Linked DNA regions of Lonchura striata. The protein of the gene in region 2 interacts with the protein of the main gene of each other region in a pairwise test. Links are inferred from orthologs where the notes say so. Each region holds a gene or a part of one and is shown on either strand. Other genes may lie near its edges. The genes, in order: SLC61A1, CREB3L1 and FAM3C.

Region 1 (3,744 bases), on a different chromosome or scaffold from region 2:
CCCCTCAGTTATGTTCCTCATGTCCCCACACATCCCCACGTCCTCCATGTCCCAAGCATCCCCCGTGTCCCCTGCGTCCCCCCATGTCCGTGTCCCTGCATCCCCCCCAAACTCATGTTCCCCGTCCCCAATTTCTTCCATGTCTCCCTTGCGCCCCGTGCCCTGCCGTGTCCCACGTGCTCTCCCATGTCCCCCCCTACCCACTGTATCCCCTGAATTCCCCCTATCCCCAGGTCCTCCCCATGTCCCCCGTGTCCCCTCACACCCCGTGCTCCTCACGTCCCTGGTGTCTCCGTGTACCCCTCCGTGTCCTCATGTCCCCGTGTCCCTCACCCACGGGTGCTGCCACGTGCTCCCCGCGCTCAGCCGCTTTGCCCGGTAAATCCCCGGGGGGGGGGGGGGGGGGGGGGGCGTGGGTCGCGGGAGGGGCAGCTCGGACATGGGGCTGGGCTGGCCGCGACCCCGGTCCTGCCGGCGCGGGGGAACCTCCCCGCGCTGTCACCTCCCCCCGTGCTGCGCCCCCGCCTTCTGCTCCCCGCCCTGCCCCTTCTGCTTACCGCCCCTCCGCTGCCCCCCGTGCTGCCCCCCGCCCTGCTGCCCCCCGCCCTGTCACCTCTCCTGCCGCCCCACCTGGTGCCCCGCACTGCCCTGCCCCCAGTGCCACCCCCCACTGCCCTGCCCCCAGTGCCACCCCCCACCCTGCTGCCCCCAGTGCCACCCCCCACCCTGCTGCCCCCAGTGCCACCCCCCACTGACCTGCCCCCAGTGCCACCCCCGGCCCCGCCCGAGTGTCCGGTGAGGGGCCCGGCCCGGCCCCCGGCGGCAGCAGGGACCCCCGAGGCGGAGGTGAGAGAGGGGCGCTCAGGGCAGCCCCCTTGCAGGAGCCTGGGAAAGGGGGTGCGGGTGGGTCACCGGGAAGTGTCACCGGGGGTGTCACCGGGGGTGTCACCGGGGGGTCACCGGGGGGTCACCGGGGGTGTCACCGGGGGGTGTCATCGGGGTGTCATCGGGGTGTCACCGGGGGGGCTTTGCTCGAGGGGCTGCGCAGGAACTCTCTGAGGGCGGCGGTCCCCGCAGAGCTCCCGTGGCGTGTCTGCAGGCGGTTCTCTGGGGTGTGTTCTCCGCAATGCCCCGAGCACTGTCCGGGTCCCTGAGGGGGGTGTCCCCACCCGTCCCGCGGCCTCCGGGGGTCCCCGTGGGCGCCTTTGGGAGGGGGCGGGGAGAGTGCCCCGTATCACGTGACACCGGCAAACATGGCGGCGCCCGCGGGGCCGGAAGCGGAAGTGGCTCCGCGGATGCGCCGCGGGGCAGCTGCGGCCGCACCGGGGGTACGGGGGAGCTCTGAGGGACCGGGGTTACCGGAACGGGTGGGGGGCCTTCGAGCGTCTGAGAGGTGTCTTCAGTGGTCCTGTGGGCCGACTCCGGGGCCGGGGGGGGTCTGTGTGGGGTAGAGAGGGAGCTGTGGGAGCGGAGGGGGCGCTGTGTGGAGCTGTAGGGGGTACATCGGGGACTTGAGGAGCATTTGGGGTGAGAGGGTCCTGTGGGGAGGTGTGAGGGTTCTGTAACGGTCTTATGAGGAGTCTGTGGAGATCCTGTGTGGGGCCCGTGGAGGATCTGGATCGTGTGGAGGGGGCCTTTTGAGGGGTATGGGAGTCTGTGGGGAACTCTGGTGGGGGTTTGCGGTCTACGTGGGCTCTGTGGGGGCTGGGTGGGGTATGGGTGGGCTTGGGAGGGGTGGTGTGGCCTGTGGACGATCTGTGGGGGATTGTGTGGTGTATCAGTGATGCTGGGGGTCCCTGTGGGGTGAGGAGGCCCTACAGAACCCAGGGGCTGTCTGGGGGATTTGGGGCACCTGGGTGGTCCCTCTGGACTCTCCCAGTTCCTCCTAGAGCTGATCCCCCTTTTTCCCTTCCCCAGGCCCTCCTGAGCCCCCTCCCCACCATGTTGCTGCTGCCCTTCTCTGCCCTCGCCCTGTTCCTCCTCACCTGCCTGGCTCTGGAGCCGCCCCCGCGGCGCCCCTCGCCCTCCAACCCTGCCTTCCGCGGCTTCCAGCGGCAGTTCCTGCTGGGCTACCTGCCGGCACTGGCTGCGGACTGGCTGCAGGGCCCGCTGCTCTTCCAGCTGCTGCACAGCCGCGGCTTCCTGCGCAGCCAGATCGCCGCCCTCTACTCCTGCGGCTTCGCCTCCAACGTCACCTTCAGCCTCATCTCCGGGTCTTTTGTGGACCGGCTCGGCCGCAAGAAGTCCTGCGTGCTGTCCTCGGGGCTGTGCTCCGTGTCCTGCCTGCTGCAGCTCTCCCAGGATTTCCTGGCACTGGCAGCCGCCCGGCTGCTGGCGGGGCTCGGCACCTCCCTGCTCTTCTCTGCCTTTGAGTCCTGGTACATCCACGAGCACTTGGAGCGCCACGACTTCCCAGCCGAGTGGATTGCTGACACCTTCTCCTGCGTGGCCCTCTGGAACAGCGGGCTGGCCGTGGCAGCGGGCCTGCTAGCTGAGCTGGTGGCCGAGGGGCTGGCGCTGGGCCCTGTGGCCCCATTCCTGGTGGCAGTGCCCTTCCTGGCTCTCTCGGGGATCTTGGCTGGGAAAAACTGGGATGAGAACTACGGGAAGAGCCGGCCCTGTGGGAAGGCCTGCAGGGAAGGCCTTCGAGGCCTCGTATCCGACCCACGGGCCCTGCTCCTGGGGCTGGTGCAGGCTCTCGTGGAAAGCATCCTCCTCATCTTTGCCTTCCTTTGGACACCCGTCCTGGAGCCGCACGGGATCCCGCTGGGAATCGCCTTCTCGGGCTTCACGGCCGCCAGTGCCGCGGGCTCGGCGCTGTTCCGGCGCGGCGTCGCCGGGAGGCTCCGGCTGCAGCCGCTGCGGCTCCTGCCCGCCTCCGTGCTGCTCCTGGCGCTGGCCCTCCTGCTCCTGGCACTGCCGCTGCACCCCCCCGGCGGCTTCCTGGCCGTGCTGCTGCTGCAGCTCTCCTGCGGGATGTACTTCCCGGCCATGGCGTTCCTGCGGCGCCGGCTGGAGCGCGGGGGGGACGCGGCGGGAGGGGCGCGGTGGCTGCGGCTGCCCCTGGGGCTGGGGGTGGCGCTGGCGCTGCCGGCCCTGCCCGGGGACCCCGCGGGGACGCGAGGGGTGTTCGGGGCCGCGGCCCTGGCGGCGCTGGCGGCGCTGGGGGCAGCCGGGGGCGTCCTGGGCACCAGCCGCGGGGACGAGGGGCTGAGGGTGGGGGACGAGGGGCTGCTCGAGGGGGACACTGCGGAGTGAGGAGGACACCGCGACAGGGACACTGGGACAGCTCAGCAGCGACACCTGGGTGTGATGGGAACACTGGGACAGTTCGAGGGGGTCACTAAGGTGTGACAGGAACACTGGGATGGGACAGGGACACTGGGACAGCTCGATGGGGATACCGGGGTGGGACAGGGACACTGGGACAGTTCAGCAGCGACACCTAGGTGTGATGGGAACATGGGGACAGTTTGGTCAGCAAGGTGTGACAGGAACACTGGGCTGGGATAGGGACGCTGGGACAGCTCAATGGGGATATGGGGTTGTAATGGGGATGCTGGGGTCTGACAGGAACATCAGGATAGCTTGATGGGGACATCAGGATGTGACTGGGATACCAGGACAGCTTGGTGGGGACACTGGGGTGTGATAGGAATGGGGATGCTGGGGTGGGACGGGGACAGCAGGACAGTTCAATGGAGACACCAATGTGTGACCAGGACACTGAGGTATCACAAGGGC
Region 2 (3,744 bases):
TTGTGTGTGTAAGTATAAAGGCTTTTGTGTGCAGGATGTGGCTGCTTGTGCAACCAGTAGCCAAGGAGCACCTTGGGTTGTGCTGTTAGTTCTGACAGCCATGGAGAATGTGGAGCAAGAGCCTGAATGGAGGAAAACCCCATGTCCAGTTCAATCACAGGCTCCAGCCAGTTTCAAATCAGCACTTCTTTGACAGGACCCTCACCACTGGCAACTTCTGGCTAGGTTTCCCCCAGGAGAAATGCACTGCTATCTTTGGGTTTTTTTCTCCAGATGCCTGTGACCAAGAAAACCCCTCCTTGGAGCTGGGACTCCAGTCTGTTCTCTGTGGAGCCATGGAAATAGGGACAAATAAATAAAACATCAGGGCTTCTTAAACGGGCTTATTATAAGTGGTTTTCTTGAGTGTTGGTTGGAGTAATGATCAGAGAGGACAGGGATCCATAATCCTATTTATCTGAAACCATATAATCTTCCTGAAGCTCTTTAATAGTGCCCAGCTCTTTAATTACAGAGCAGCCGCACGTGCGGCTGCAGCCAGGCCTACCTGCAAGCCCTCTGCGGGGAGCGGGGGCAAGGAGACCTCCCTGCCGGCTGCCCTTCGGGCTCCGATCCCGCGGAACGCCCGTCTTTCCCGGCGCTGCTCCCCGAGGGATGCAGAAGGGCCACCAAAGCCGGCCGGCCGGCTGCTGAAAGGAGGGTTTGTTCGGTTCGTCAAACTGCCACGGCTCTGCCGGGGACCAGCAGCGCCCTCGGGTCCCTGCGCAGCGCCGGCAGGAGCACGGGGGCCCCGGGCAGGCACCGGCCTCACCCCGCCCGGCGGTGCGGGGGCTGCCCGGGAGGCGGGGGCCCTGCCTCGAGGGGTGTCTGCGCGGGAAGTCCCGCCCCGGCGGCTCCCGGAGAGCGGCGGGGGCGTGCCGCGGCCGCCCGCCGGCCCCTCGGCAGCGGGGCACTGACAGCCGGCCTGAGCGGCACCGGCGCGGCGCTCCGCTCCGTGCCCGCCCGGCGGTCGCTGCCGCCCCGCCGCCCATGGGCCGCCGCCACCGGGGGGCGGGCGGGAGCGTGCGGCCGCAGTGAGCCCGGCCGGCCGAGCGCGGGGGGCGGCCGAGCCCCGGCGCCGCGGGCACCATGGACAGTATCCTGGAGCCCTTCCCCGCCGAGCGGCTCTTCCCCGCCGCCGGCACCGGCTTCCTCGACTTCGGCGACTTCAGCGAGGCGGACTTTCTCAGCAATGTGGTAAGGGACCGCCGGCAGCACCCCCGCTCCGGCGGGCCGGCCCCGGCAGCGGGGACGGGACGCGGCGGCGGGCTCTCCTCGGTCCCCGCCCTGCCCCGGGGTGCCCCGGAGATGCAGGTAGCCGGGTGCCTGCCGTCGCACACGGCCAGCCCCCCGCTGGACTGGCCCAGCCGCTGTTACCCCGAGGAGACCCCGCCGGGGAATCTCAGGGCTGTTGTACACTATGGTTTTACGAGCCTGATGGCTGGGGAGAAGTGTGCGGTGCCAGGCGGGGAATGTACGACCTGCCGTGTGTGAGCTCGGGCAGCACCGGTGGCACGGCCGGTTGCCGCCGGGAGAGCTTTGGGCTCAGCCCCTCCTCTCTCCTTTGCCTGTAACTTTTCCTCAGAGTGGCATTTGGGAGATGAAGCATCTACCGCTTGGCGCTTTGGCTGGGCTGATTTACTTTGGAGAGAAGGGTGAGGAGGAAGAGTGACTAGGGAGGAAAATGTGTTGCCAGTCTCAGGGAACCAAAGGGGCATTGTTCACCTCTAGGGAAACTGCCCAGTTTCTCCCAGGAGTCAGGCGAGTTCTCAGTCCAGCAACTCTCCCTGTGAACGCGCACAGACTCTTTGCTATAGTGCCCGAGCTCTCCATGGGAGTTTCCATGGGATCCTGCCGCCCCTCTGCCGAGCAGAACCCAGCCCTGAGGCAAAAGTGGGAAGGGCCCCACCCCGGAGGTGGTTTGGAGCGAGGGTATCCAGCGCTGGGCAGCAGAGCACTGCCTGAATGCGAGGCTCCGCCAGCCTCTGAGCAGCTGCAGCCGTGGGACAGTGTGCCTGCCCCGGACAGAGATCCGAGCAATGGCTTGTTACTCTCCTTTCACGGTGCTGGCACCTCCCGTGTTCCCGGTGTAGCACTGTGAGCATCCCTGAGGACTACCCTTGCAGTGGGAGCAGGGAACAGGGAGACGGTGAATCCTCTGATGAATCCACTTCTGCTTTGCTACACAAAAGATATTTGAAGTCTTTTGTGTTGCCTCCTTTGTGAGGGAGACGGTAGAGATGCAGAATTTACATAGATATTAAGTGCACTGCAGCAAGCAGAGCACACGGGGTCTGGGAAAGAGATTATGGAGGCAGCCCTATCCCTCAGAGATCTTGCCAGCTCCTAATTTCCGAGATAGCACTGTGCCTCGAGGACTGATTCCACTGGGCTCTACCAGAGACAACAGAGTCCGCAGTGTTCAGGCACACCTTCCAATGGCACATCACCCCAAGACTGAGCACGTGCCTCACCCGCTCATATCTGAGAGACGTGTTGTTAGGAGTTTTGTGCTTTCCCTAATTCCATACACATCCAGCGTGGATGAAGGTATGCTGATAGGAAGTGCTTTATGTAAAGACCATTTATTCCTTTACCAAAATGAAAATAGTATTGTATTGGCACCAGCCCTTTTACCAGGTGCAACATGGGCTGTGGTCAGAAGTCAGGGAACCCCTAACCAACATAGGGGGTACCTTTTTATAGTTAAACATAACTTCTGCCTGCAAGCAGATCCTGTGAAAAAAGCTTTTGTGTAAGAGTGCCATCTGGTGCCACCTGCCAGGACAGTGTGTTTAAAGTGTGTGGTGGCCGTGGGCAGGCTGGCTCTGTCCTGCCTCATTTAAATGGCTTTTCTGCTTGGAGAGCTGCCTCTGGAAGCAGCTTGCCGTTGTCTTCTCATTTAACTATGTTGCAGTGACTCAGACATCGTTGTGCTCAGATGACAGCAGAAAGGCGCTTTTTTTTAAGGCTTTTTTTTTTCCCCTATGGATTTTTTCCCCAACTGCCAGCGCCACAACTTCTGCTGGAGTTAAGAGTATCAAGCTGAAACCTTCTCGTCCTGCAGAAGATACATATAAGAGATTCTGTAGCCACTTCTCGCCTGCAAAATCTGTTGGTGATACAAGAGCCAGAACATAATACATCACCCTCTTTGTTCTCACTCTGCATGACAATGGGAAGGATGGAAGAAATACACTTGGATTTTCTTACTAAATCCAGCAAATCTCCTGGGATCTTGCAATGTGCGGAGAAGTTCTTTTGACATAGAACTGTGCAAAACATCACCATGCACAATTGCTTTCAAAGTTGCCAGTGTCTTTGCTTCAAAGATGGGCAAACTTTTCCAGATATTGTTCAACAGGCATTTTTCTTAAAACAGGGCAGGAATTTCAGCCATAAAATGTCAGTATGAAATTTTCATGAATATGATTTCCTCTTTTCAGAAAGGAAGTAGAAAGAAAAGATGGATGAACCTTGTTGCAGAGTCTGTGCTCCTTTGGGACAAGAATTGCATGTGTCTACTACTGTCCTTTCCAAAACCTTGGCAATCCTAATGAGTCATCTTGGTCTTTAAAAAATGGTTCTCTGTATTGTTCATCTCAAGCTGTGACAAAGAATTAATTAAGGCACATCTGTAGATGCCTCTTCAGAAAGATCTGTGTGCTTGCAAAAGAAAAAAAAAATTAATGTGTAGGAGCTGCC
Region 3 (3,744 bases), on a different chromosome or scaffold from region 2:
CTTTTAGCCAAGTAAATAATCAGTGGGATTCAACTGCAGCCATTCTGAAGTCTAACTTATTTCTTTGACTTTGATACAGATGTATTCTGAGGTATTGGTTATTGTACAGATAATATTATTTCTTCTTTAAATAATTTGATAGTGCTACTTATGTAATCTTTTTAAAATATTTGTTTCAATTGCAAACATTTGCTTATCAAAGCAGTTAGCCTCTGTTAGCATACAGACTTTACAAATCTGTTACTGTAGACAGTGCCACCTAATTAGTAATCAGGAGAACATGGTTAAAATTAATACATTAAGCCCTAACTGTCAAAGTATTATATATCTATATAATCTTTTAGAACTAAAAGCTATAAATACCTTCTTTTTTTGTGTAATGCTCCCACTGGGTACTCCTTTGCTTAGAGATAACAGAATGCCTGAAACTTCATTGTGCTGCAAAAACTTACTAAAGAAATCACTTGACTGATGTTCAAATAACCATCTCATACCAATGACCAATCAGTCTCAAAGCATGCTATTTTAAAACCAATAAAAGAAATATCTATTGTCCAGAAGTTGTTAAAATAAGACATGGAAACTTTCTTTTGTGTACCTGACACTGATGATGTGCGATATGTCCTACATTTTGGCTGTGGTTTTGTTCTCTTCTGAGAGAAGCGCCATGCTGATTTTGTAAAACTGCTCTCTTGCTGTTTTAACAATAGGGGAATTTACAGGGTCTGGAGCTCTGCTTCCCCAGCACTTTCCATACCCACCCCAGCAATAGTCCAGCTGAGTCCAGCTGAGTTAGGCCAGTGGAAATCTTCCACAAAATAAAATGCTGCTCATGCTGCTCTTCCTGCTTGCGTCTCTACCCACTCCAGCTACCCCTAACTCCCTACCTACTCCAGCTCATGACAGGGTTAGAGGAAAATCAGTGCCAAAAAAAAAAAAAAAAAAAAAAAATAGGATAAAGAAGAGACAGGGATTATCTTTTCTTCTTATGCAATAACACAGATTGCCTCAATCCTGCTGATCACAATGCTATTGAAAGAAAAAGATTGGACTTTATTTTAAACCAGAAAATGCCATTTCTGTTCTGCAACAGAAGATAACTTCTGGTGTGTTTGGGTAAAATGAAGAAAAAAAAAAAAAGAAAATGTGTGTAAAATATAAAAGAAAACAAGCAGAAACATCTCGGTGTCCAAGTCGCTCCCGGGATGGGCACCAGGCTGGCCGTGGGGCACGCCTGGCACGCTGCGTTCGGCGCTCCCCCGCGGCTCCCGGCGCAGGGCAGCGCGCAGCGCCCGCGGCCCGCGGCGGGCGGGGCGCGGGGCGGGGCGGCGCGGGCTCGGTCCGCCACCGGCAGGGGGCGGGTGCGCCCTCCGCGCCTTCCTCCGGCTGCGCGGCGCCGGCGGCTCCGCTCGGTTCCTGCTCGGGCCGGGGCAGCCTTCGCGGCACGGCCGCCGAGGGGACGCTGCGCGACGTGTCCGCGCCCCACAGCCCCGGTATGTGCTCGCCTTCTCCGCGGGGCTGCGCGGGGAGCGGCCCCTGCCCGTCTCCCGCCGGGCATCCCGCCGCTGGTTCCGCCGCCCGGGCGCGCATCGCTCCGCTCTGCGCGGGACAGCCGCAGGCTGCCGGCCCCTGCCTCCGCTGCCGGCTTTCCCCGGCGGTGCCCCTTTCCCCATCCCTGGCCCTTCCCCCATCCCCTGCTGCCCCGGGAAGGGTGAGGTGGGCCGGGGCCGCGGGTCCGAGCCGGGCGGGGCGCTGGGCGGGGGCTCAGCCCCGTCCTCCGCCCTTCCACCGTCCCAGCCCGGCGCGGGGGTCGGGGCCGGCGGGAGGCGGCGGTGGGGCAGGGGGCGAGCGGGAGGAGGAAGGGGGGGCAGCGGGTGCGGCGGTCGCGTCCGCAGGACGGCCCGGTCCAGGGAAATGAGAGAAACGCTGGCAGCGTGGCAGCCCCTTCCTGGAAACCAGGCGGTGCTGCTGCTCGGTGGTGGTGTTCCCTTGCCTCTCTCTGTGGAGTGCGGGGCCGCGGGCGCCGTTGGTCCATGAGTTGGAGGGCTCGGCTCTTGTTTAACTAAAATGCATCGTTACAGAGGGCAGCCGTGAGCTCCTAAGGAAGTTAAATGTGCTGCTTGCAGAGAGGTACTTGTCGAAGCAGTCTGTATACCTTTGGTTGCTGGCCTCTGAGTTGCTGAAGTAGGAAAGCATATAGAAATAATATAATTTTTTTCCTCTTTAGTAAATGCTACCATATGTTAAGCCACGTGTTTGGCTGAGCCGCTTAGGAGCTATGTGACTCACCCGATTTGTTTATTTTCCTATTTTCTCACATTTGAAAGAGGTTAAATCACAACGTAGTAACTCCAGACTTGGGTGAAGATCTTTGCATGTACGAGGTATTTTAATGTTGTGCGGGGCTTATTGTGCCGCACCGACTTGGAGCCCGTAGTGGTTCTTTGCTGGTGAACGCAGCTGACTTCACCTCTCTTTTAACGAAGTATTTATTTAATACTAATTGGGGAGTTATTTAGAAAAAGTATCAAAACCACAGACTCACACCAGAAATGGCTACCTAATGACTGTCGTGTTGTTTTATTTTTTTTTTTTTTTTTTTTAACTTTCGAAGCTTCTTAAGGTATGAGTATCTTCATTAGCACATATTTTCCCTCAGGGTTTCTTTTATGCAAAGTTGTTTGTGTGGCAAAACAAGTTTTGTGACTTGCTTTAAGCCTGCAGGTAGGCTCTTCACAAGCTAATAGCTTGCTATTATCATGTAATAACATCGGATCACTGCGGGATGGAGGAAGCACCTGTTGGTTTCAGGCCTTGCTTCCATGGCTTTGCAAAAGTCCTGACCACTTCACCCAGTAGGAGCACGGAGTAGATAGATGATAGATAATAATCGGTGCTGCACCGAACCCAGAGTTCCTGTCCAGCCTCTCTAAGTGCAGCCCGAGTGCTTCAGGGCATATGTGCTCTACATAACCTGGTTTGGGTTAGAAGGAGCCTTAAAGACTATCTATTTCCAGCCCCCTGCTATCGGCAGGGCACTTTCCACTAGACTAGGTTGCTTTAATCCCCATCCGAGCCTGGCCTTGAGTGTTTCCAGAGATGGATTACCTGCTGCCTCTCTGACAAACCTCTATCAGTGTTTAATCACCATCCCAAGAGGCACGCTGCTCTAGTCCCTTGGACACTGGGCCACTGAGTACAACTCTTTAAGTGGCCAACCACATTTAATGAGAGCTATTAGTGCTTATAGAAGGGAGGCATGATGTACACAGAGTTTAAAATTTTAGTGGAACTTTGGAAAATTAATATTTAAAAAGTGAATTCCTGAACGTTATTTCTCAGGATTTTGGGGGAAATACTGACATACAGGAAACAGATCTTTAGTTTTTTCAATAAAATCATAAGATGGATTGATACTGTACAAAAATACCTGTCTACTTGCAGATTATATTGCAGCATGAAGATTAGGTGTCCATAAAATGAATCCACAGCAGACACAGAGAACTTGTTCTTAAATATTTAAATTGATCAAAGAGAATTTGCTATTCAAATAGAACTTATGTTCTGGTTTTTAAACTTGTATTTCCAGTGAACTTGGGGAATTGACATGTGAGTGTAATGGCTGCAGGTCTTTCGAGTTTGGTAATCAGTATGTCCATGAGTCATTATATGTCATATGTATGTTCAGTTCTGAGTTTTTCACTAAAATTTGCTGAGGCTGTGTAGGGCTTGAGGCATAATTAT

The links.
Region 1: the proteins of CREB3L1 (region 2) and SLC61A1 interact in binary tests that used the Homo sapiens proteins (3 or more experiments, as listed by UniProt). The two-hybrid records come from large-scale screens. The link is inferred for Lonchura striata from reciprocal best matches to the Homo sapiens genes CREB3L1 and SLC61A1.
Region 3: the proteins of CREB3L1 (region 2) and FAM3C interact in binary tests that used the Homo sapiens proteins (3 or more experiments, as listed by UniProt). The two-hybrid records come from large-scale screens. The link is inferred for Lonchura striata from reciprocal best matches to the Homo sapiens genes CREB3L1 and FAM3C.

The regions. Positions count from the first base shown.
Region 1 is NC_134629.1:4,626,861-4,630,604, forward strand, and holds the start of SLC61A1 (molybdate-anion transporter), read left to right. Parts: upstream 1-1,303; 5' UTR 1,304-1,328; intron 1,329-1,917; 5' UTR 1,918-1,941; coding exon 1,942-3,258; 3' UTR 3,259-3,744. UniProt on the Homo sapiens protein: Mediates high-affinity intracellular uptake of the rare oligo-element molybdenum.
Region 2 is NC_134608.1:38,463,221-38,466,964, forward strand, and holds the start of CREB3L1 (cyclic AMP-responsive element-binding protein 3-like protein 1), read left to right. Parts: upstream 1-1,064; 5' UTR 1,065-1,128; coding exon 1,129-1,236; intron 1,237-3,744.
Region 3 is NC_134607.1:32,701,557-32,705,300, forward strand, and holds the start of FAM3C (protein FAM3C), read left to right. Parts: upstream 1-1,362; 5' UTR 1,363-1,493; intron 1,494-3,744. UniProt on the Homo sapiens protein: May be involved in retinal laminar formation. Promotes epithelial to mesenchymal transition.